Arabidopsis thaliana: one gene and its partners. The protein of the gene in region 3 interacts with the protein of the main gene of each other region in a pairwise test. Each region holds a gene or a part of one and is shown on either strand. Other genes may lie near its edges. The genes, in order: SEOa, PHB, AT3G51180 and AT1G01440.

Region 1 (5,940 bases), about 19 Mb from region 3:
AATTATGTATTTGTCTGTTGGCTTTCTTTGATTTTTCAAGATTCGATTAAACCAAAGTTGATTGCTTAAACACTTTAATTTTGATTTGTTTTGTCGACATAAGCAATGAGAAATAAATGGATGAATAGCCCAATAGAAGCCCATTAGCCTGAAATTGGGCTACAAGCAAACATACCAAATAAATAGTAGGGAAGAGCAGAAATAATCACACCACTCATCAGTTATCCATTCCTTTCTTTTTACATAAATTTTGTCACTTTTTCTACAAACGATTCTTCGCTTCTGTGAAATTTGATAAAGCGAAAGTTTTTTTCTTATGGATTCTCTTCGATTCAACCTCCAACAATCTCCATTTCAATTGAAACCTAGAATTCTCCGACCAAGAATCACCAACATATCAAACCGAATCGATGAAACCGATCCTCGACCATCATCCTCGGCCGGTAGGATCCAAAGGTTAGTACTTAACAACGAAGGTCGGACCAAACTAAACGCCGATCCTGACCGTGAATTCTATTCATATCCACGGTTCGTGAACCACGTAGATGATAGTTTCATATCCTCCTTAACCGAACTATACAGAAACCGGTTGAGACCCGGTTCGACTGTACTTGACTTGATGAGCTCATGGGTCAGCCATCTTCCAGAAGAAGTGAAGTACGAGAAAGTAGTAGGGCATGGTCTTAACGCACAGGAGCTTGCTCGTAACCCTAGACTCGATTACTTCTTCGTCAAGGATCTTAATGAAGATCAGAAGTTCGAGTTCGAAGACAAGTATTTCGACGCTGTTTTGTGTTCTGTTGGTGTACAGTATCTACAACAACCCGAAAAGGTACGTTACCGTAAACCAAAACCGATTTCGGTTATGTCAAGAAGATTCCTAAACCGGGTCTTTATTATATAAACCGCAGGTGTTTGCAGAAGTGTATAGAGTGTTGAAACCGGGAGGAGTGTTGATAGTGAGTTTTAGCAACCGGATGTTTTATGAGAAAGCAATTAGGGTTTGGCGTGATGGAACCGAATACAGTCGGATCCAATTGGTGGTTCAGTACTTTCAGTCTATTGAAGGGTTTACTCAGCCGGAGATCATCCGGCAACAGCCTGGAGCTCAGATATCGGTTTTGACTCGGCTTATGGGTTTTATCGGTTTAGCTTCTACGCCCGATCCTTTTAATGCTGTCATTGCTTATAAAAATTTCAAACCTATTTATGAGTAACACGCACATAAAAAAAAGTGTATAAGAATTGGATGGGAAGTTTTTGAAGAAAAGGAAAAAACCTCTCAACCAAGTCCAGCTGGAGAAACTTACAATACAAATTTTTAAAAAGTGGAGAATGAAATTACAGATTTCAATCAAATTGGAAGAACCTGTATTACACAAGAAATAATTGACAGAAAGATTACACACTTTGGAAAATATAATTAATATATAGTTTTCAATTAGCATGCATTGTATGTGATTCGTTTTGTTCGAAGATTCATGGACAATATCCAAGCAAGGTAGCCTTGTCCCTCTTCAAACGAGTATCACGAGTTGCTTACTTTATGGTTTAGATTCTATAATAACAGTATATATATTAGAAGGAAGTCTTTTATATTAAAACAAAAATCCATTGTATATGTACACTATCTATGTTCCATGCATGTGTCTTCTTAAATAGCTATGAAGTCCCTTATTTTACTATGTACATACTAAATTTAGTTATGTTTATCAGGATAACTCGTTGTACCATCAGTATATAAACTTTGAAATATTAAATGTTTCTCACTACTAGTATTAGACTGTTGCAGTTGCGTTAGAGACGTTTCATATTTAGAAATAATATTATCCAAGACCTGAAATTCTTATTATTATGAAAATTATGAAATATCGATAAGGGAAAAACTGTATGGAAGTGTAAAAGACACCAAAACAGATATTGAACCAAAGGTGAAGCAAAGAAGTTGATTCAAAGTTGCCACTTTATTTAACCTTTTGCACCAGTATATATACACACACATGGATACTAACCCAATCATTCATCACAACACATCAGATCCTTCACCATATATTTCTCTCAACCTCGCCAATATGGCCCAACGCTTTCAATTGAACTCACAAACCCTCCCAACGGCCGACCCTCTCAAAAGGGTCTCCCTTATTCCAAGATCCGCCGAGCAGAGGCTGGCTGATAACGCAGGCGAGAGGCGTCCTTTAGCACCGAGATCTCACGAAGACAACCCCTTTGGGGGTCATACTGATGATCACCATGTTGCTGCTCCTGCGGACCATAATAAGGTGATGGATCATAATAGCGAGAATCTCGGTTCCATTGTCCCTAAGACTGCACATTACCCTCATCCATCTGAGGAAATCCTTGATGCTAATATCCGACATTCGATGGTTCCGAAATCATTGGGTCCCAATTCGCTCGGTGGAAGATTTGGTCCGGGAAAGAAACAAGCTTTCCATAGAAATGGCAGACCCATGTTTTCACTTTCTGATGACCGAGTCATGGCTGATAGAGTCTTGAAGACTCACAGTCCAGACATGATCTTCTTTGATGTCACATCACTTCTCTCCGTTGTTAATGACATCTTCAAGTCTCATGTCCCATCCATTGACTCCTCTGCTCCTAAGGTTTAGTTTACTTGTGCAACAATTAATCCCCATTTCAAATACTGATTTTTACAAGCGTATTAAATTTAAAACTTTTTGCAGCCATCACTCGTCTTCAAGGACTACGCTGATCATACCTCCTTTGAAACTTTTGCGGATCTCATTGATCAAATCTCTTGCGAGGTATATATGAAGCTTTCTTGTTTTAAGTAACGTTTGAGTCAGTATCTAAGTATCAATGTCTCTGACACAGATCGACTGCAAGTGTCTCCATGGCGGTGAGTCTCACGGTATGATGACATCAGGGCTTCATTTGGATAGTCGCAACACGACGACGTTCTCTGTTCTGTCTTTGGTCTCCAAATACCGTTGGGATGCTAAGCTAGTCCTTGTCCTATCTGCTTTGGCCGTGAAATACGGCGTTTTTCTCCTCCTCGCGGAGACACACGCAACAAATCAGCTCACAAAATCTCTGGCTCTCATCAAACAGCTCCCTAGCATCTTCTCCCGGCAGAACGCTCTACACCAGCGTCTCGACAAGACCCGAATTCTGATGCAAGACATGGTTGATCTCACCACTACCATCATCGATATCTATCAACTCCCGCCAAACCACATCACAGCCGCGTTTACCGACCATATCCCCACTGCGGTTTACTGGATTGTTCGCTGTGTTTTGATATGTGTTTCTCACATCAGTGGCGCCAGTGGTTTCAAGCAGGAGTAAGTTGTTTTTCTTTCTGATTTCTAGGGTTTCAAGTAGGAGTAAGTTGAGTATGTGCTTCTCATCTATGTTTTCAGTCAAATCATGTCGTTTATGGAAGTTTCGGAGATACATGAGAATAGCGAAAGGCTTAGGAAGATCAATGCTTACTTGTTAGAACAATTCAAGAAGAGTAAAATGACCATCGGTAACTACGACGTCGTTTTAAGCTCTCTCTCTGTTTCTATATATTTAAGAGTATTTTTATTCCTCTGTTCTCAAGCTCTGTTTTTTTTACTCTGTTACAGAGGAAGGTATAATCGAAGAAGAGTATCAAGAACTCATCCAGACGTTCACTACTATCATTCACGTCGACGTTGTTCCTCCTCTACTTCGTCTTCTCAGACCCATTGATTTTCTTTACCACGGAGCTGGTGTTTCAAAGAGACGCGTAAAACCTCCTTATATCTCTGCATCTGTATATGTCTCTTGTCAGTGACTGATCTGTTTTCAAACATTAACCAGGTCGGGATCAACGTGCTCACCCAAAAGCACGTTCTGCTTCTGATATCAGACCTAGAAAACATCGAAAAAGAGCTCTACATCCTGGAATCGCTCTACACAGAAGCATGGCAGCAGTCATTCGAGATTCTTTGGGTTCCAGTTCAAGATTTCTGGACAGAAGCTGACGATGCCAAGTTCGAGGCCCTTCACATGAACATGAGGTGGTACGTTCTTGGAGAGCCTCGGAAATTAAGACGAGCCGCGATAAGGTTTGTGAGGGAATGGTGGGGTTTCAAGAACAGGCCTATACTCGTTGCACTTGATCCCAAAGGTCAAGTTATGTCAACCAACGCCTTTCCTATGGTCTGGATCTGGCAACCCTTTGCTCACCCTTTTACCACCGCAAGGGAACGTGATCTATGGAGCGAACAGGAGTGGAATCTTGAGTTCTTGATTGATGGCACTGATCCTCATTCCTTAAACCAGGTTTCTTGATTGAATAAAAAAACAGAGTACTAATAAATTTTTCTTTCTCTTGTGTTACACGTAACCTGAAAATCTGTGTGTGTTTCAAATGTTTTTTATCAGCTTGTTGATGGAAAATACATATGTCTCTACGGAGGAGAAGATATGCAATGGATCAAAAACTTCACGAGTCTCTGGCGTAATGTAGCGAAGGCCGCAAACATTCAACTTGAGATGGTTTATGTCGGGAAAAGAAACCCTAAGAATGGAATCCAGCCGATAATCAACACAATCCGGGAGGAAAATCTCAGCCATACTTTGCCGGACTTGTTCCAGATCTGGTTTTTCTGGACCAGGGTCGAGAGCATGTGGGAATCGAAGCAGAGGATGCTGAAAGCCCACGGAATCAAGGGGAGAGAAGGGTTTAAAGAAGAGGAAAAGGACCTTGTTCTGCAAGAAGTGGTTGCTATGTTAGGTTATGGAGGAGAAGGAGATGGATGGGGACTGGTGAGTAAAGCATCGGACATGATGGTTCGAGCCAAAGGGAACTTGTTTTCTAGGGGTTTGGCTGAATTTAACGAATGGGAAGTCAACATCCCCACAAAGGGTTTTCTTACAGCGCTCAATGATCATCTCTTAATGCGTCTCCCACCACATCACTGCACAAGGTTCATGCTTCCTGAGACTGCTGGAATTATACCTAATGAGGTTGAGTGCACCGAGTGCCGTAGGACTATGGAAAAGTATTACTTGTACCAATGCTGCCTTGAGTAAGATCCCATAATACTGGGGAACAAGTTGATTTGGAAGCCAACAACTTGTTCCTATAAAACCAAATAAGTTTGCGTCTTTTTTTTCCTCCTTGTTGTGAGTTTCTCTACTCTTCATGTTGTTGTTGTTGTTCTGCTCTACTAAAAGCAGAGAGTCTTTGTAATAAAATTTGTGTGTTTGAGATTTCGAAATAATAAAGGTTTATTTATCGGAAGCTTCTAGAACAATGAACTGATTGAACATTGCTTCTTTGTTGATTTCTTGATCCTTAAGCTCCTAGAACACTAGTGAACTAATACACAAGTAACACAAGTGACCGTGACATTTTTTTAATGTGACAGTAATATCTTTTGACATTTAGCCTTTTGAAATGAAATTACTTAATGCTAGTAAAATATAGGCAAAGTAAAAGGATGGATCAATCAATCAAAAGATGAACAGTCTTTTGAGTCCAAATCACATATCGTAATATATCTAATAGAAAGTTAAAAGTGTTAGTCTACATTATTGAAAAAATAAACCATGAGACTGATTGCTGTATTACAAAGGGGGAATACAACTTTAAACGACAAATCAGCGGTTCCTAGCCTGTAGTTAATGTAAAAGTTAAATCTTCCAAACCATCAAATACTTTTTAAATATTGCATATATCGGATTCGATTTCGAAGAAGCTCTTATACGTATTTCTAATGATGAGATATTAAAATTTGTTGCGTATAGAAACAACAAATTTAATCCTACCTATAAACGTTATGCTAAAGTTAATAGAAAAAAAAAAAAACATGCATAGAATAAACCCAAAGCATAACAATCTTATTTTTAGAAAAGTGATTGTCTTTAGATAAATATATCCTTGGTTACTCTTTTATTGCTTTTTTTAGCCTTATCCAAGATATA
Region 2 (7,659 bases), on a different chromosome or scaffold from region 3:
GAGTAGGAGGCATCATCATCATTTACTTTTCTTATGATAGATACGATTTCAGTATACGTTTTTTTTTTTTTTTTAGTGTACGATCAATTTATAAATAGGCATGATGTATTCATTTATTGTGAAGATTCATGCAAATCTAATCTTTAAGTTTGTTTGCAGTGCTATTAACGGCTTCGCACAACTAGAACCTGTATTCAAATTGGACCACCCTCCATTATACAAAACAATAATACCCAAATCTAACATAATATCTTATCAATAATACATATATTTCTATTTTATTATAATTATTGATATACATACTCCAAAATTGCACAACGTAACCAGCTAGCTCATTCATCTATCTTTCTTACTTTATAAAAATGAAACATCATTATTATTAGCCTGTTAGATGTTCCAAAACTTAATATAGTTTCTTTGTCCAATTAGATATTTACGAAATTTTAACTCATATATTTTTTTTTTTTTCTTTTTTTTTGGCTACAAACTATGAGACTTCAGTAAAGAGCTAAATTTTAGCAGCATAACTAAAACATTCAGGGAAAGAAAAAACTACACGTCAAACAAGAACCCCCTATAGTAGACAAACTAGACATAGATGGTCATATAAATAGGTAGTTGAAAATAGAAACTAGTCACCTTGTGAAAGCAAACGAGCACAAGAAAAAAAACTTGATAACATTATCATAATAATCTTGCCATATAACGTAACATAGGAACAAGAACAATCCATACAAGATCAGACATTCGTCATATTACATATTGGTCCTCGAATTTCAAAAGACTTTGGAGCATAGTGGCACCTAACTTTAATATCTTACATAAATAACCTCCCTACCAAGGGAAAAATGGAGTAAAATCTGGTCTTCTTATTTCTTATTATTCTTCAAACGAACGACCAATTCACGAACATGAAAGCTAAGCAGTGGTTTGATTCATCGTCTTCAAGAACTTTCCACACCGTTGCCTGCTCGTAAGATACCATCCTTCCCATGCTTGACGCACATACTCCTGCCGGCAGATGAGCATAGCCCTGTAAAACAAAATTTAGATTCCAAGTCAAACAATGATTTTTCCAAGAAAATGTCAAAATGTTTCCCAAGAAAAAACAAAAACCTGTTGCATGATCTTGGGGAACTCAGAGCAAAGAGCTTTACGACCAGGTTCGTCAAGGGTCTTGTCTAGCATTATGTCTTGAAGGGCTACAAGAGTCGTTTCCAGCATGTCTAAACCGGTTTGGTTTGCGAATGTGAAAACCGGTGAAGCCTACAGATGAGAATTTATGTCAGTCATCTCAAGAACATGTTCTAGTCACAAATACAAAATCTGAATGGGAAGCCTTGTTACTTACGTTTGTTTTGAGGGAGCAGCACAAGATTGCATCAGAGTGATTCCAGAGTTGATGCAGCAACGTGTCACCACTGGTTTGAGAATCAGATCCAAAGAGATCTGCACCAGTGTGAAGGCTACAAAGCCAAAAAGAAAAGAAGAGAAATTCAGATAAAATACTCCATAGATCATGTAAACAAAAGCAGAAACCTAGAGGCTAATGATAATGAAGTACCTGTAACTCCGGGAGATCCAACGGACCAGAGTGAGAGCTTCAGGGGAAGTGGGAACAGATATTGGACTGATATTGGAGCCAGGACGAGGAGCAATGGCTAGAGCAACCCTCTGAATCGATCCTACTATGCTTCGCACGTACTGACGTGCCATTGAAGCAACACTGTCTCTTGAATGGTTATCAAATGTGAACTGGAATGCTATGGTTAGTACCGACCTAAAGTTACAGCCATTTGGGTCGGCTTCACCAGCTTGACGTGTGGATCCTTCTAAAGCTGAGGCTAAATCCAGGGTACGGTTTGCAGATGCACCGTTCTATATGACAGTGAAGGATTAGAAATTTAGAATATTGCGTCAAGAATAAATGATTTGGGACTGATCCTTAAATGGCTTTTTGACATGTTACCGGAGTAGATTTCTGTTCAAGAGGTATGATGCGGAAACCGGAAGGAAGCAAAGGTGCATCATCAGCAAATGATTCATCGATAGGGGCAAATACAAGCTGTGCACAACCTCCAACCACATTTTCATCAACACCGCTACAAAGCTAGACAAGAATCAAGAATCCAAAATGTCATGAAGAGAACAAAGGAGCATAGAAACTTTGGAGTTAAAGTATGAAGTCAAACCTGTAGCAAATACATATCCCGAGCTAAACCCATGTCTTCGGGTGAGTAAGCGTGACCTTCAAGTCTAACCACCTCAAGTGACTGAAACAAGTAACCAAGAAAGGTTTCAGGACTATAACACGTATTTAGAGAGAGGAGAAAGTGAAGCTGTGTTATTCTTTGATAAAAGTACCTCTTCATGTTCAACTGTCTGCGCAAGAGGAAGAATGACTTGGTTACTTGGGAACCCCCCAGCTCTAGCACAAGGAACAGCAAAAGGACTTGCTCTGAGCGATGCAGCAGCATAAGCATCCACGCCATAATCAGCCCATTCAGATCGGTGTTCTCTAAGGAATCGAACCAGCACAGCGGGTGGAACGTTCTTCAAACAAAAAAAAAAAGATGCAAGTTAGTTAGAAACAGACAGAAACAGAATATTAGTTTTTTTATTATCAAATCCTTAAGACATGTACCTGAAGCAACATAGATGCCTTGGCACAAAGCACGCCACTACCAAAGCTTGGAAGGAATGAATTACCGTACTGAGACCCACCAAACTTCCCAGGGGACAAGTTTATCATTACAGTAACATCCTCTGCACCATCGCTACCCATTGGTGACCATCCATCATCCACAAAACCATTAACAGCATCATTGAAACCCCTGAAAGTTCATCCATATTGAACAATTAGAATAAGAATAAAAGAAATTCTTGGTGATAAAGCTATTAAGTAAAGTAGATACTTACCGACAGAGTCTTTGACTGAAGGTTCTTAAAACCGCAGGTTGGCGCCCTCCACCATACTGAACTTCTCCACTTGTTTCTTGTGCAATTTGTCTTACATGTCTCAAAGCCTGAAATAAGACTCCGAACTTAAGAAACATTGCAGCATACCAAGTCGTTCAGGTCATATACAGTTTGGATAAAGGTATTTGAACTTACAGCAACAGTCATTTTCTGAGCAAGAATCTTCGATGATTCATAGAGAGGCCTCATGACTTCAGGGACACTCCAGGCCTTGCAAAACCGAAAAAACAAAGTCATGATCATATTATAAAGAGAGAACTGAAGTGTTATGAACCGATTCGAGTTGTCACTTACATCCAGATCAACATGATCAACAATGTGGAGAATGGAACCACCACCATCGCAAGGACGGATGAGAAACCCGCTTGGTTTCATTTCAGCTCTCACAAAGTTTGAAGAAGGTGGCCCAGTGGGGCCACCAGTTGCAGAAGTAAGCGACCTTTCACAAACCTGAAGACAGTGAGTGAAGACAAAAGTATTAAAACAGAAACTACATAACAGAAAAAGCAGATTCAAGAACTCACCACATAGCTTCCATCTTCCAAACATGTGCTATATCTCAGCGTCCAAAAGTCACGAGCTGCTGCTAAAGTCGTAGGAGCATACATCTGCGTGTAAATAAGCTCGATCGTCCCACCGTTTCCAGCAGGTATCACACTCAGAGTATCCACACTTCGACAATCTCGGAGCCAAGATGGACGATCTTTGAGAATTTCAGCAACCTATATTTGTTTTCAAATCAAGACTAGCGTAAGCTAATGATTATAAACACAAGCCAGAACGTAACAAATCGCACTCTTTACCTTCATGGGTTCTAAACTCACGAGGCCGCAGGCACGTGCTGCAATTCCGCTGCAGTTGCGCGAAATAGCGACTATGCCAATAGAATCCGGACCAGGCTACACCAGCAATGAAGGTTCATCAAATAATCATAAACAACTTCATCTTCAGACACAACTAAAGAATAGAAATCAGATTATACAACTTTAAGAGTATTCAGGCCAGAAAGTATTACCTTCATCCCAATCATCTGAACCCAGTCAACAGCAGTTCCTGTAGCCTTGGAAAGGAACTCTGCTAGGGCCTCCTCTGCTATAGAAAGGAGTCTAAACAAAAAAGAACCATTTAGGTTGTCACAGAGTGGGAAACAGAATTCATTAGAGAGTTATAGAGCAGACAAGAAAAGCTCACCCTGCTGGGTTGTTAGCATCACGTTGCTGATGCTGAGGATTTGGGTTTTGCTGTTGATGTTGCTGACCACTCACGACCACAGACTCACAGCTGTTGTCTGTGGTCGTCCCAGAAGCCTACATTCCAAAAAAAAGATAACAACTTTCAAACAAAATGCTTCATAGAATTGAGTTTTAGAGACAGAAAATAGTGAAAAGTGAACTTTACAGTGTGAAGTTGATGTTTCATGTGGCCATTCTCATAGACCAAGTTAGAAACTTGCTTCTGCAAACGATCATTCTCTTCCATCAAGAGTTTGTTCATGGCATTGAGTTTTCTGTTCACTGTTTGAAGACGAGCAGCTTCTTTCCTCTGCTTCTCACGACATCTAAAAATCAAAAGGAAGCTTCGTTAGACCAACTAAGCCAACATAAAAGCCAAATGTGCATGGATGATGGGAAGAAATGTTAGTGGATGAACAGAGACAGACACCATTTGTCTTTATAAAACACATCCAATGATATAAAGAAGAAAAGATAATGTAAATTTTTCCCCTTTATCATATCATAATTTCTGGCAGAAAATCTTAAGCTTTTGACAGAAATAAATGTTGGAAACGCATTCAAAGACAATTTGATTAAATGTCACTTTCGTGAATTTAGATATTCAACCAACTAGATACGTCAAAGCATATGGTAAACAAAGTTTCTTGCTTTAAAGAGATTTAGAAGACGATTAAAACTCATAACAAAATGATCACTGAGATCCAAAAAATTCTTGTCAGATAAGAACAGCAAGGAAACTTAAATACAACTGACCAGTCAAAGAAAGAAAAACATTTAACATCTTCATAAACTCATATACAAACAAAAAGATAATCTAATGGTAAGAAAACAATTAATACAGACAAAAGGTAACAACTTTGATAAGGAAAGAAGATGAAATTTCACCTGCGGTTCTGAAACCAAACTTTGATCTGCTTAGGCTCGATGTTAGAGAGAATCGGACATTCACGTATGAGTTGTTGTCTTCTTAGAGAACTTGGCTTAGGACACTCAGTGTAAACTCTCTCGAGAGCTTCCACTTGCTCCGGCGTGTACCTCACATACTTGCCGGAATCTAACCCTTTATCCGGCGACTCTCTGTTCATCATATCTCTGCTCATCGAATGGACCATCATCATAGCTCAAAGTCAGAAATAGGAAAAAAGGACGATTCTTTTGAATGGGTAAAGCTTGAAAATTGGAGAAATCCCTAGGTTATTTTCAAGGGTAGGCTCTCTCTACTCAGAGAGCCTCCACTCACGTTCATGAGATAATGGTGAGAAAAAAAAGGAGTTTTGGAGAAAGAACAAATAAACAAAAAAAAAAGTTTCTATTTTTATTTTTTTCGGTTTATTTGTTATTTCTTTAGCTCAAGACAGAAAACGCCAGAGGGCAATGGCGAGAGAGGAGAGGAAGGAGAAGCGAAGAGATAAGAGGAGCAAGATAAAGGAAGCAAAGTAGAGGTCTTTATCTCAGACGCCAATCTCGAGATCCTTTTAAGACATGGTCCAAAAAAAATAAAACATAACTCTAAAAGAAATTACTTTTCTTTTGTGTGGCGCGAGAAAGACTTGCAAGAACATAAAAACAGCATAAAGGTAAAAAAAAAATGAAAACTGAAACGCCAGGTGGGTTGAATTTGATAAAAGCTTTTTACTTTTACGGTTTTATTTACATAGCTAAAATAAATTAATATCTACTGCAAAATCTCATAATAATTTATACTTTGTGTCCATATTTGTACTCAATGTGTTCACTAAAAACATTTACTTTAGTAAAAAGAAAATGATTTGTCCAAAAAAAAAAAAAAAAAAATGTAAAAAGAAAATGCAATTGAGTTTTATGTGTACTAATTACTACATAAGTTTCTTCTGGTTATAACTTGTGATGCAAAAATAAAATAAAATTATTCTAGTATTTGTAGCAATAAAAAATTAGCTAAGAAATAATTAAAATAAGGTGCAGGATAAAAAAGGGGAAAGACAATAAAGGAGAAAAGCCAACACACGCAAAACAGTCTCTGCAAAACCCATCTGTTTTTTTTACTCTACCCACAACAGTAATGATAAAAATACATATAAAATAACTAACTTAATATGGAGGCAGAGAAGACAGGCCAATCTTTGTTTTTTTCTTTACCTTTTCTTTTTAATATTGTTATGTTTTATTCGAAGAAATTGTTGTCAGAAGAAACGGATATTTGACGAAATGGGTATTTTGCTAACTTAGGGAAAAAAAAATGCTGTTGTCTTTAGCTCTGTGAGAAGGACATCACATAAGTTTCTTTCTCTTTCCTTCTTTCTGATGTTCATCATATGCTGATGCTGATGTATGTTGCATGTACAATATATCATCATGTGTATATCTACGTACATCTTTGTATGCATTAGGTTTATGATAATGATGATGATAAATGTTGCATGCATGAGGAAAATGGTGTGGGAATGTCACTCACCGAGCGCGTGAGAAGCGTGAAAGGGACTTTATTTTTTTGAAATATAAAGTTATTAGTCCTGTCAAAAAATGCCTCAAATTAGGACTTTTTGTGTGTTTAAACTTTCTTTTATGAAATTTGGCTTCGCTTTGTTAGTTTCAAAGCTTTTTTGTTTATTAGAGTTTTGGTTTTTTCTGGTCAGATTATGAATATATTCGATTCAAATTTGAGTCAAGAAATAAATAGAAAGAGAAGACAGACAAGTTTGGCATTGGTAAGTACAGTCTGTTTTAGGTTCTGTAAGAGTTGTACAAAATCAATGCTCGGACAAACGACTAACTTCTTATAACTACGGTCTACGTGTCTATACGCTAGGACAAAAAATAAATACGTAATATTTTTTTTTTTTTATATATACGTAATATTTTTTTTTTTTTTTTATATACGTAATTTAATACTAATACTGTACATAGAGAGAGAGAGGAGTAGGAGGAATAAATGAAGGTGGTCATGTGAAGTCTCATCATGAGTCCAACTTTGTGCATGCGCTTCGATTTTCTACATGGCAGATACCACCACACGTAGCTCCCTATATCCTTTTCTTCGACACCCAATTAACCATTTTTATTTCAATAAAAGGCTACAACTACTAAATACTTTTCTCCATCGAATACACGCAAAATAAATGCTTTTCAAGTTGTATTCTTTTCATAAAACACCACTTAACATTATTTAACTACACAATATTACGAGGTTTCTTCTCGCGCCACTCAAAACATTTTTCTTTTGAGTTTTGAGTTTTGTTTTCCTCATCACGAGGGATTATTAACTCCTGCATGTTCACCATTTATATACCGTGTTTGAAGTTTGAACTATGGTAAATGGATTTTTTTTTGGTTTTCATTGTTGTGAAGGTTTAGTCGCATCCTTCATTTGTTAATATCATCGCATAATCAAAGCAAATGAAAAAAGAAGTTGTAGAAAAAAGTTTTCAAAATTATCTGACAAGTAAAAGATTGTGAAAGTAGGTTT
Region 3 (5,306 bases):
CTTCTTCCTTGTCGGAAGTTTGATGCTTTCGATTTACTTGTAAGTTTTCAGGGGAGATAGGTTATCCTTGTTAAAGCAATGTTATAAGACAAGGAAGGTTGAGATTTGGGTTACGAAGAATAAGATTGATACTAGTAACAACAATGGATCAGACGAAGTTGTGTGGATTCACTTGTTGACGTTGCTACCAAATAACTTGCCAAACTTATTTATCGAGTGTTATGGCATTAGTTACTTCATCTATGACAAGACCACCTTCATCATTTATTGTGCTGACGAGAACACTTATGCGGCTTGCATCTATATTGTCAGGGGAGATTTGCTCAAGAAGTTTGTAATTGACACCATGGTTTTCTGTTGTTATAGCTGTGTTTATGCTCCCAATTTTATCCCCCTTCCTTTAATGTAAAAGTTCTGAATATAATAATAAGATGCTTTATTTATTAAAGCTCTCAAATCAACATTTATTTTATTTCACTAGTAGTTTAAACCAATTGACAAAACCGGTTCAGTCAATGTTACAACTTACAATCCAAAACAACAAACCAAACCGGATAAACACCCAAAATGCCCAAAAAAATAACAGAACATGTGACTAAAGCTTTGACAAACGGATGAAATCTAGGCTCTACGACCACTACAATGATATAATATATGTACTGTGCACTGAAATAATACCCAGCAAAATAGTGATCAGTTCCAAAGTCTAAAAGAAATCAGTATGACTCATTACAGTTTTACCAATCCAACATTTGTCGCCATCATAATCAAAATCACACGATCGTAGTCGTAGAAGCCTTTGCGTTGATCGTTACTTAGAGTGATTACCATTATCGTCACATCGTCATGATATCTCCGTCTCCTACCAACCGGAATATTCGTCAACTCTTCCAATGCGAAGCCTAAATCAAAGTGCCAATTTTCGTCTCCTAACTTTCTTGAACCTTTCAAAAAGAAAAATGTCAATTTTATCTTTTCGTCTTCTAATTTTCTAGTCGGACTAGTTGTTGTTTTTCCAATTTAATGTCGGCTTTCAACTCAGGCGTAGCCGGTGTTTTGGTCGGATTAAAATATTCCAAACTTAGTTTTGTCTAAGTGCTGGATTTTTGTGTTTTCTCTTTCTACATGACTTAAAATTAAATCTTGTTTAGATTATGTATGATTTACTGTCGGCTTGGCTCTTCTAAAGGACTAATATCCTTGTAACTTACTACCGACTGGTATGAAGACTGGTATGAAGTGGACCTTTTAAGGTTTTGAGGTGGAGCTTTTTTTGAAGAATTTTTGAATTGAGATCTAAAGATTCGTTGGAGTCATGGCCAGAATTATAAGAACGTACAGCAAAATTTGGCAGGCCGGCGGCGGTAAACCTATAGAAGGAGCTAGCGATGATGGATCTAAAGTCCAGCGACAAAGCTGAACCATATCGTTAGATATGGCTGATAAAGATCGTGTCAATACTCATCCTTCTCACGTGTGGATACTTTTTCACAAGTGGCATTTTTAACTCTTATTTTTTTTAAAAAGTTGGATTTAGAGTAAGTGGGCTTAATTTCAATTTTAAGTTGTAAATGTAGGACTTTGTTTTATCTGTAATGCCAATTTGGTTTTCCATTTTAATAAAAAATAAATAGCCAAAAATAAGGAAAAAATCTTATTTAATTTTTTAAAATAAGTAGGAATCCAATTGAGTTAATAAATAAATATAAATTAGGAATCCAATTATAATTTGGAGTTAGCTGAGACCTGAGAATTACACGAAATTAAATAAATAAATAACTGCTTCCGTTATATATAAATACAGTCTCTAAAGGAACGTCCTAACAAAATCCACCGTGTACTAAAAAGAAAAAGAAAATAGAAGAGACAGTTGTTAGGGTTTTCTCATCAATCAATCAATCATCATCATCACCCAAATCCTTCCGCCGACGTCTCTTTCTTGTTTCCGTTTTCTCTCTCCGATCTCTGACTCATCCATCGTATTGACCAATTCCCTAATCAAAATCCTTCGAATCTCAATTTGCTTCGTTAAGAAATCTGTAGATCTAGCAGAAAAAATTCATATTTGATCTGAATCTGATAAAAAAACGATCACCGGTTGAATCAAAAAGAATCGAATTTTGTTTTCACTGGTTTGTTTCTTTGAGATTTATATGAATAATATGAAGAGATCGAAGAAACCCAGAGTTTCATGGCCACCAGGTCCTAAGCTTTGTCAGGTATAATTAATCCTTATATGTTCCATGTTTTCTTATCCACTTTCTAATCCCAAATTGATTGATCCATCTCACCAAATCTAAACTCTCGATTATAACAATTAACCTAATTTCTGGATCCTAAAATTTCGATTTTGAAGTTTTCCTTTAAACCCAACGAATTGATTGATACGATCTTGAATCGCTGAATTATTTAATTTCAATATCCAATCGAAAAATGGTGAAGAAACCAAGTCTTGTTTGTTGTTACTTTGACGGCTCTTTTGGTATGTAGAAGGCTTTGATTTTTCTATCTTTGAAGATAACGTTTTAGCTCATATAGTTTACATGAAATTGATTTGAATCAACAAAGATATATTCAAGGTTTTGGATTTGGAAATTTGAATCAACATACAGTTAGATTTAGATTGAAACAAGATATGATCAAGTTTTGAAGTTTGAATGCATCAATCCAATACTCTGCAACTACAAATTTACAATCTTTTTACAGATAGACTTGGGAAGCCTTATTGGTTTAGTTACATAGTTTTGATACACGAAAAAGTCAGCTTTGGTTAGCTTCTAACTATGCGGATTTTGAACAGGTTAAGGTTTTTCGAACAGAGGACAGTCCTGCCAATGTAGCCTCTCAGCCTCAACGTCATAGCTACCCATCTAGGAAACCTCGAGGGCCAGATCTTCCACCTGGTTTTGAAGGAAATCACTATGCAGTTAAGCCTAATGTTTCAAACATTCCTCGCATCAAATGGAAACGACCTCCTCCCAAGGTATATTTTTTATACTGTAAAGAATTGGTGAATCCCTTTTGAATCTTTTTTTATCATATCTGATATTAATATTATGTGTCTTGGACAATGCAGTTCTCTGTCAATGATACTTGGCTGGTTGGATGTGGTGGCGGGAGCTCAGAATGGCAAAATGAAAACTTGAGGATTTCAAAAGTGCTGGAAGCTATCTATCCTCATCGCTCTGCCATCCCTTCTCGGTATTTTACCTTCTTCTCTTAGGTTATTCAACATTGTGTTGGTGTGTTAGTTAGCCTGCTGATTGCATTCTGTTTTCATGTAGACCCTCTGTTTCACCGGCTGTGGAAGCTGAATGCTTTGATGACAGCAAAACTCCTGCCATTCGTCTCACTCCTATTGAAGACGAGAGTGAATCTTCTTCAGAGGAGTCATCCAACAGTAAGGTTGAATCAGGTGTTACCGCAAACAAGCAGGGTCAGTTGGAGACCAAACCTCTATGTTCAACCCAAGAACAGGTTTCTGGTCTTACTGGTCTTGCACCAGACTTGAGTCTGGCTGCTTCTGCAGCTCTGACTGCACTGATGAAAACCAAGGAACAAGGGAGTTTGGTCGATACTGAGCTACTTATCAAGTTCCTCAGCGACCCAAAATTAATCAAGAATCTTATCACTGACACATCAGGTAAATCCTCTGAAACTAAGAATCAGCCCATTGTCACTAACATCAACTCTGCTACTAGACCTGTTCCGCAGCCTGTCAGTGCTGTCACCGCCTCACCCATGGCTAGAAAGCCGCAGCCAGTGATAATACCTCAAGAACACAGTGTTGCAGTTTCTCGGTCTTTTACTAACCCTGAGAGGCGAGTATCACCTCCCAAGCCTGTAAATGGAAGCATATCCCCACCTAAGCCTATAACTGGAAAACCATCTAGTATACCAATGCCCGTTCATTTCCATGTCGGTATAGCTAAAGAACAACCTCAGCCTGCTCGGTTCCCATCGAGTTCTCTGCCAATGAACCTTAACTTCCACCGACCTCCAAATGTTTTCTCAGAACCAAAGGTAATAGTAAATCCTCAACCCCAACACCAACCCTATTCCGCATTCCGTACATCTGAAATGAACTATGTTCAATCATCAATTGGACTTGGAAGGGGTCCTCAAACCGGTTTCAATTCTTATCCAATGAACTTTAGCCGGGCAGATGCAATTGGTAGCGCTAAACCAGTAGTACAACCTATGAAGGGTCTAGACTATTTCAAAAACCTTATAAGGGAACATGGCACAGATAATCATGAAACTAACCAATACCATTCACAAACTGGAATATTCAACGGACGCATTGATAATAATAATAAGATTCATCAACAATGTATCTACTTTGGCACTGCGAATGGATGTAATATGGGAGACAGTTGCACCTATGTTCATGACCGGTATAGGCCCAACTTTGAGGCCGCGGCTCCGAGGGCTAAGAGAATGAAGTTTGGAAGGTATGAGAGAAATGGTTTTTGAACATAAAAAAAAAAATAGAGTTCACTTTTATAGTCTTGTCTATCACTGGTTAAGGAACAAAACCTGAGGTGATACAACTTTCAATTTTGATCAATTTGTGCGCACCAATTTTAATTCATTTAACAAAGTTATTTGTTTAGAGCACCAGTTTAATGACACCAGTTTAAGAGGTCGAGAAAGCCGGACAATATTAATTTAAATCATGATTTCAAAACTAATCTGCGTAATTAATTTGTAGTAAACTATGTCCGGTCTTTTAAAACAAACGATTAACGGAGTTGAGTTTTGTAATCGCTTAAAAAAACTGTTGTAATATATAGCTAGAGTCTGGAGATGTACTGCAAAGTATAGGTAATATGTAGTAAAAAAATACCATCAAGATGACCGCAAAAGATCTCATAAATTAAAGAATTCAAAATTCTACCTTTAAAGGGCAGATTCGAAACGAAGCTCATTAGCTTTCAACACAAAAAGAGGTTATAACTAAAGTAAAAGGCTACAATGGGGTGTTAACAGAAATAAGAAATTAAAATCAAGAAAGCAGAGAAGAGTGTGTCTCAAGTCTAGTAGTCTGCCTTGGCTGCTAATGTGGCAGCTGCACCTCTACGACGACCAGTTCTCCTTGCAGCAATTTGACCAACCTTAGCACCAGCAGATTTATCACGCCTGACCGTACTGGCGTGACCAATGTGCTGGTGGTTTCCTCCTCCGTGGGGATGTTCCACTGGGTTCATCGCAACACCACGTACAACAGGCCAACAGTTCCTCTTCGCTTTGTACTTGTGGTATGCATTTCCAGCCTTGAGAAGTGGCTTCTCTGTTCTTCCTCC
Region 4 (5,734 bases), on a different chromosome or scaffold from region 3:
CAGGTAAAGTACCATTTGAAGATAGCCACCTGCAAGGAGATAAGATGAGTAGAAACATTAGGGCCGGGGAGAGACCGCTTTTTCCATTTAATTCACCAAAGTTCATAACAAACCTGACAAAACGATGCTGGCATGCTGATCCCAATCAGCGTCCAACTTTCTCATCGATAAGCAGAATTCTCCGGTATATCAAACGGTTTCTAGCTTTGAACCCGGAATGTTACAGTAGTAGCCAACAAGACCCGTCCATTGCGCCTACTGTGGATTACTGCGAGATCGAGACAAAGCTATTGCAGAAGCTTTCTTGGGAATCTACAGAGCTAACCAAAGTTTCACAGGTTCCTTTTCAAATGTTTGCATATAGGGTTGTGGAACGGGCAAAAACGTGTGAAAAGGATAATCTCCGGGAACCATCGGAATCAGGAAGTGAATGGGCTTCGTGTAGCGAGGATGAGGGTGGGGCAGGATCAGATGAGCAGTTGTCATATGCCAAGGAAAGAAGATTGTCATGCTCCTCAAATGATGTTGGTATGAGCAAGAAGCAGGTTTCAAATCTTCTGAAAAGAGCTTCTAGCCTGAAACCAATTCAAAAACCAGGTGAGATTATCATCAGCCAATATATATATATATATATAGGCTCCCTAACAAATATGAACTTGGTTACTTGTACTAATTTTTTTGTTTTGTGTCACTAGCCTTTGGATTCTGTTCAGGGACAACTCCGAGAGGACGATCAAGGCATCCGCCACTAAGCCCTTGTGGTGGGCAAAGCATGAGAGCAAACTCTGAGAGTCAGCTGATATTGATAAGCCCAAGGATACGACGATCAAACTCTGGACATGCCTCTGACTCTGAGCTTTCCTAGTCTGCAGGGAAAAAGAATAGGTTCATAATAGCAAGTTCAAAATGCTGTACAAGTCAAAAGACATACTAACTCGTATGTGGTGACACACACTCCACTACATATCTATCGAAAACGATAAAATTCTTCTTTATTCAAAGTTTCCTACAGATACTACTAGGCTCGTATATTGTTCAGGCTAGTGACTGATTGATTCAGTAGCTACTAGCTACAATATTATCTTAAAGGAAACAAATCATATGAGGCAAAATTATGTGCCTAGACTGTAGAGGCTCAACGCTGAAGTGAAGTAAACTAGGCCTGCTCCACTATTTCTACAATCTATCAAACACCATCAAATTACACTAATCAAATTTTGGGCTTCGAATGTGGATAAAAACATCAAAAATAAGGAACCTTGACTAATCTGCCTGAAAATTACCTTAACAAAAAAGGGGAACAGCGATTCCGCCGGGGACTAGAGACATGGCGTGGTTCGGAGCTTTGGCTCTGTCTCTCGTCAATTTCAATATCTCCGCCACCGCCGACTCCGTCACATCCATCCTCCGACGCTTTTATTATGTCATTGATTGTGATATGACCAAAAAGTCCCCACTCTAGTTTTAGATGAATGAAGCTATGATTTCTTTTTTTTTTTTGGTGATAAGTACGTTATTATGATTTTAATACCAACAGATTTGTCAAATATAACATTATAAGCAAGTGGAGTAAACAAACTAAGCAGCTGATTTGTACAAAAAATACTTTACAGCTATAACATTTGTCATTGTCACCCTAATATAAAATACAATTCCAACAACTAAAATACATCTCTAAACTTTTTAAAGATGATGATGATGAAAAGAATTCAAGTTATGAGCACGTCTGGGAACATGGCACACCATCTATTTTGACAAGATAATATTATACAATACATGTATAAAATACGTACACATTCATCGTTATAAACTAAACCCACCATGGCCATGATGAATAGTGTGTGTAGTTCAAGGTATTGTTGGTTTTGGAGCAGCGAGACACAAATATATCAAAGACCTAATTTGGTACTTTAACTTTCACCTTTCAAATGCAGTTAAATTCGAATCGATCCAACCAATTCATTAGTTACTACTATTTTTATTTTGTTGCATTATTTTTGGTCGTCACGTTATCTCTTGGTCAACTTGACCTGGTAAGACTCATAGTTTCTAGATATGTCAAAATTCTTAAACTCCATTGTCGATCTAATTGTTCCTAGTTGGTAGATTCCCGGGAAAACGAAGCAAGAAAAGTAGAGCTATTGTTCGAAGTCTTTTGATTATTTAAATAAATTCCTCTGAAATTTTCACAAAACTCCTTTAATATTAAAAAATGGCTGCGTCAAAGAGACTAAAAGCTTGATTCTCACCGGAGACGAAGAAATTGCCCAAAAAATATTCATAATACTGACGCCGGAATCACTCTTCTTCGAGGTGCGTTTGATTTTCCTATATCTCTCTGTCTTGTCTTTCCCGTTTTGGATGCTGTGCAATCATGGAAACTCTTGAACTAGTCTCTAGGAAAATTTTAAGATTTGCTCTACCATGTTACTATTCGCGGATTGGAGAAGATTCGATTAGAGAATTTGTTGATAATTTCGGATTTTGTTTGAATTCAAGGATTATTATTTCTGTTGCAGTTTAAACAAGCAAAACCCTAGAAGCTGGTCTTCGTCGGAGAATTTTTGTTTTTTTTTTCCGATGAGGACAAGCGGTGACGTTTATGGAGCAGATACTGGTTCCTCAAGAAGTGATGAAGACAGAGGCTTTAAGGAGGATCTCAATGAATCCGCTACTAGCCCGATGAGAAATCGCCTAGACGATTCGAATTCACGACCTGGTTCTCAGAGATTCGTCAAGAGCTCGAGAAAGGAGGAAGAGACTGATTCAGATTCTTCTTCTTCTAAGAACACAACCACCAGAAACAACCCAATTCAGTACACTGATAAACAACAAGCCGAGCTTTTGAGAAAGCTTGATTCTATTAAAGATCATCTTCTCCGTGGTGGAGGTAATAATGCTACTGTTGTTGATCAGCCACCAATGGGTTTCCATGCCCATCATGGACCTCCTCCTTCTTATTACAATCCATACCCTGAGCCATTTCCTTATGGAATGTATCCTACCGCGAGTAACCAACCTCATGTTCCAGCTTATAGAGACCCTTATGGATTCCCAGTGCATAGGATACCTCAAAACTTTTATCAAGGACCAAGTCATTACCCTAATCAGATGCCGCCTCGTCCACCCTATCCTCAAGGACAGTATGTAGACATTGGCTCTGATATACTTGAGTCACAGTTACAGGACCCTAGATTCTTTCCGGGTACGCCAAGTAGGTATGGTGATGTCCCATTTAGCCCGGCTTTGCACCACGGTGAGAAAGTTGGACCCTTTAGTCCACATGGTGGTGTTCACACGAGGTGGCCTAGTGAAATTGATTCTGAAATGGGTGGTGCTTTTGCTCGTGGGTATGTTCAACAAGCTGTGTCTGATACTGATTCACGTCGTTGCCATCCTCTAGCAGGCGGTGCGCCTTTTATTGCTTGTCACAGTTGCTTTGAGCTGCTATATGTGCCTAAGAAGAAGCTTCTTGGTCAGGAAAGGCAACAAAAGATGCAATGTGGTGCTTGTTCTGAGGTTATCACGTTCAGAGTTGTTGATAAGAAGCTTGTTTTCTCATCTTCTGCCCTGGGGGAAACTACGAACCGGGTTTCTGTAGAGGTTGAAGATAGAAGCTCACCAATCCCTGTGGTAGATGATTATCCACTCAATGATGAAGAACCAAGAATACACCAGGAAACGAAAATTGTCCATGCTGTATCGCCTAGTGATCACTCAAACGATGAAGACAGGTCAAGCATTTCTAGTGAGCCGCGGAAACAGGTCGTCAAGTCTGTTCGCAGCAGAGCCCAAGGCGCGAAGGTTCCTCCTCCTCCTCCTCCGGAAAAGTCCAATCTTCTTGAGCTCTTTGAGTATTCTAATGTAAACCGAGCTGCAATCACTTACGGAATGGCGCAGTTAGGGTACTATAAGCAAGAATCATACACGAAACAAGACTCCCTGAAATCAGAATCAGTAGCTACTGAGACAGATGTTTCTTATAATGAGTACTATACTAACACCGAGGAGTCTGAAGATTCAAGGATCTCAAAAGCCAGCAAAGAAGGGAGACGACCAAGAAACCGAAAGCAGAGTAGTGAGCACAGTTTCGCAGAGGTCACAAATAATATCAGTTCTAACGACCAAAACAACGAGCAGCTAGAGGTTTGGGTGAATGGGTATCTGATACCAGAAGATCTGGTTATTAGCGCTGAGAAACAAGCTGGGCCAGTTCAAGCTGGCAAATACTGGTATGTTTGGGGTTACGTTTTGATAAATCTACGTCAAAAGAATTGATCAGTCGTTCAAGAAACCATCTTTATGTTATGATTCTGACCAGGTATGATTACCGTGCTGGATTCTGGGGAGTGATGGGAAACCCTTGTCTCGGTATAATACCAGTAAGAACTTTCACATCTCTTCTATATTGCTTTGAATTCCAGTACACTGTTTCATAATTCTTTGTATTGATTGGTACTTGATGAGGAAATGGGAAACAATTGTTGGTTGATGCAGCCATTTATAGAGGAGTTTAGTCGACCAATGCCGGATAACTGCGGTGCAGGAAACACGAGTGTGTTTGTAAACGGAAGAGAGCTTCACGAGAGAGACCTAGAGTTACTATCAAGTAGAGGTCTTCCTCGAGGCAAGAACCGTTCTTACATCATTGATATAGCAGGAAGAGTTCTTGATGGAGACTCTGGTGAAGAACTTAAGAGTCTTGGCAGATTAGCTCCAACGTAAGCACAACACAATTCCATGTAATCAAATTTTTACATCAATCATTTAGTTGATTCTGAAATTTTATGGTTGAAAATTGAATCAGGGTTGACAAGGTGAAGCATGGATTTGGCATGAGGGTTCCAAGATCATTAGTCTCGTGAAGCTTCGTCAGCTTTGTTTTGACCTCTCTGATTTGTAAATTATTCTTTGTGATTGATATATAACACATCTTTGCTTATATTCTGACCCAAAACTTATTTGCTATTCTGTTTTTGGGTTTAGTTTCTTTTTTGGGGGTTCTCTTACAATGTTCCATTCTTTCTCTTACTTTTTTTTTTTTTGTCTAAGAGATAAACCGTATGGTTTTATATCTTGTGATCTGGTTTATGTAAATTGATCATTTTTTATTGTGGATAACCTGTTGCCTGTTGGGAAATAAAATAATATTTGTTTGATTTTGTGACAAAAGATAAATGTATATATTTATAGATCTGTCCAGGCTGTGTGTACTTGTTAAATCGTTTTCAAGAAAGAAAACACACTGGTATGGTAGATCCAAAATCAACTTCAAGTAAGATGGGTCCACGTAGCAAATATTTAAAGCCCATGGAATAATTTATTCACAATGGGCCTCGTGGTCGTGGTGTACCCTACTCCATATAAAAAAACAGAGTCGATAATCTAGTCTGTCTAAAACGACTAATTCATGTCTAAAGATTAGTTTATGTTTTAAATCACCGAGAACTAATTCTACCGTCTAGATAGAACGATTTTTTTTTTTTCTCTAGATAGAACGTTTAAAACAAAATTAGCATGAAAATTACCACGGTTATCAGAAGACAAAATATATTTTTTCGTCTAATTAGATGTGTAAAGCATAAACTAGATACTAATTTATATACTCACAAGTAGTTTTAGTTACAAGTTTCAACCATTAAATCTAAGTGCGAGGTCTCTGTCTTTAGTTGAAAAAAGAGAGAGAGAACAAGTCTCTATCTTTGCTCCTGATAAGTGATAATTAATCAATAAA

What was found.
Region 1: the proteins of AT3G51180 (region 3) and SEOa interact in a two-hybrid assay, tested with the Arabidopsis thaliana proteins (one large-scale study listed by BioGRID).
Region 2: the proteins of AT3G51180 (region 3) and PHB interact in a two-hybrid assay, tested with the Arabidopsis thaliana proteins (one large-scale study listed by BioGRID).
Region 4: the proteins of AT3G51180 (region 3) and AT1G01440 interact in a two-hybrid assay, tested with the Arabidopsis thaliana proteins (one large-scale study listed by BioGRID).

The regions. Positions count from the first base shown.
Region 1 is NC_003074.8:245,216-251,155, forward strand, and holds SEOa (sieve element occlusion protein), read left to right. Parts: upstream 1-1,976; 5' UTR 1,977-2,000; coding exon 2,001-2,621; intron 2,622-2,702; coding exon 2,703-2,783; intron 2,784-2,853; coding exon 2,854-3,323; intron 3,324-3,401; coding exon 3,402-3,511; intron 3,512-3,611; coding exon 3,612-3,754; intron 3,755-3,828; coding exon 3,829-4,293; intron 4,294-4,395; coding exon 4,396-5,046; 3' UTR 5,047-5,257; downstream 5,258-5,940. Other genes in the region: AT3G01660 (S-adenosyl-L-methionine-dependent methyltransferases superfamily protein), read left to right, coding at 317-832, 912-1,217. UniProt on the Arabidopsis thaliana protein: Scaffold protein required to form the phloem filament matrix in sieve elements.
Region 2 is NC_003071.7:14,638,662-14,646,320, forward strand, and holds PHB (Homeobox-leucine zipper family protein / lipid-binding START domain-containing protein), read right to left. Parts: upstream 5,695-7,659; 5' UTR 5,333-5,694; coding exon 5,100-5,332; intron 4,538-5,099; coding exon 4,378-4,537; intron 4,287-4,377; coding exon 4,171-4,286; intron 4,086-4,170; coding exon 3,995-4,085; intron 3,879-3,994; coding exon 3,783-3,878; intron 3,702-3,782; coding exon 3,504-3,701; intron 3,430-3,503; coding exon 3,274-3,429; intron 3,190-3,273; coding exon 3,115-3,189; intron 3,027-3,114; coding exon 2,920-3,026; intron 2,835-2,919; coding exon 2,645-2,834; intron 2,554-2,644; coding exon 2,365-2,553; intron 2,274-2,364; coding exon 2,193-2,273; intron 2,111-2,192; coding exon 1,970-2,110; intron 1,879-1,969; coding exon 1,565-1,878; intron 1,467-1,564; coding exon 1,352-1,466; intron 1,267-1,351; coding exon 1,117-1,266; intron 1,034-1,116; coding exon 887-1,033; 3' UTR 662-886; downstream 1-661. UniProt on the Arabidopsis thaliana protein: Probable transcription factor involved in the determination of adaxial-abaxial polarity in ovule primordium. Specifies adaxial leaf fates.
Region 3 is NC_003074.8:19,011,567-19,016,872, forward strand, and holds AT3G51180 (Zinc finger C-x8-C-x5-C-x3-H type family protein), read left to right. Parts: upstream 1-1,822; 5' UTR 1,823-2,153; coding exon 2,154-2,219; intron 2,220-2,800; coding exon 2,801-2,983; intron 2,984-3,076; coding exon 3,077-3,201; intron 3,202-3,284; coding exon 3,285-4,476; 3' UTR 4,477-4,781; downstream 4,782-5,306. Other genes in the region: AT3G51171 (F-box and associated interaction domains-containing protein), read left to right, coding at 1-60; AT3G51190 (Ribosomal protein L2 family), read right to left, coding at 5,040-5,306.
Region 4 is NC_003070.9:159,066-164,799, reverse strand, and holds AT1G01440 (hypothetical protein (DUF3133)), read left to right. Parts: upstream 1-1,846; 5' UTR 1,847-2,313; intron 2,314-2,519; 5' UTR 2,520-2,580; coding exon 2,581-4,232; intron 4,233-4,321; coding exon 4,322-4,382; intron 4,383-4,497; coding exon 4,498-4,721; intron 4,722-4,807; coding exon 4,808-4,865; 3' UTR 4,866-5,172; downstream 5,173-5,734. Other genes in the region: AT1G01450 (Protein kinase superfamily protein), read left to right, coding at 1-695.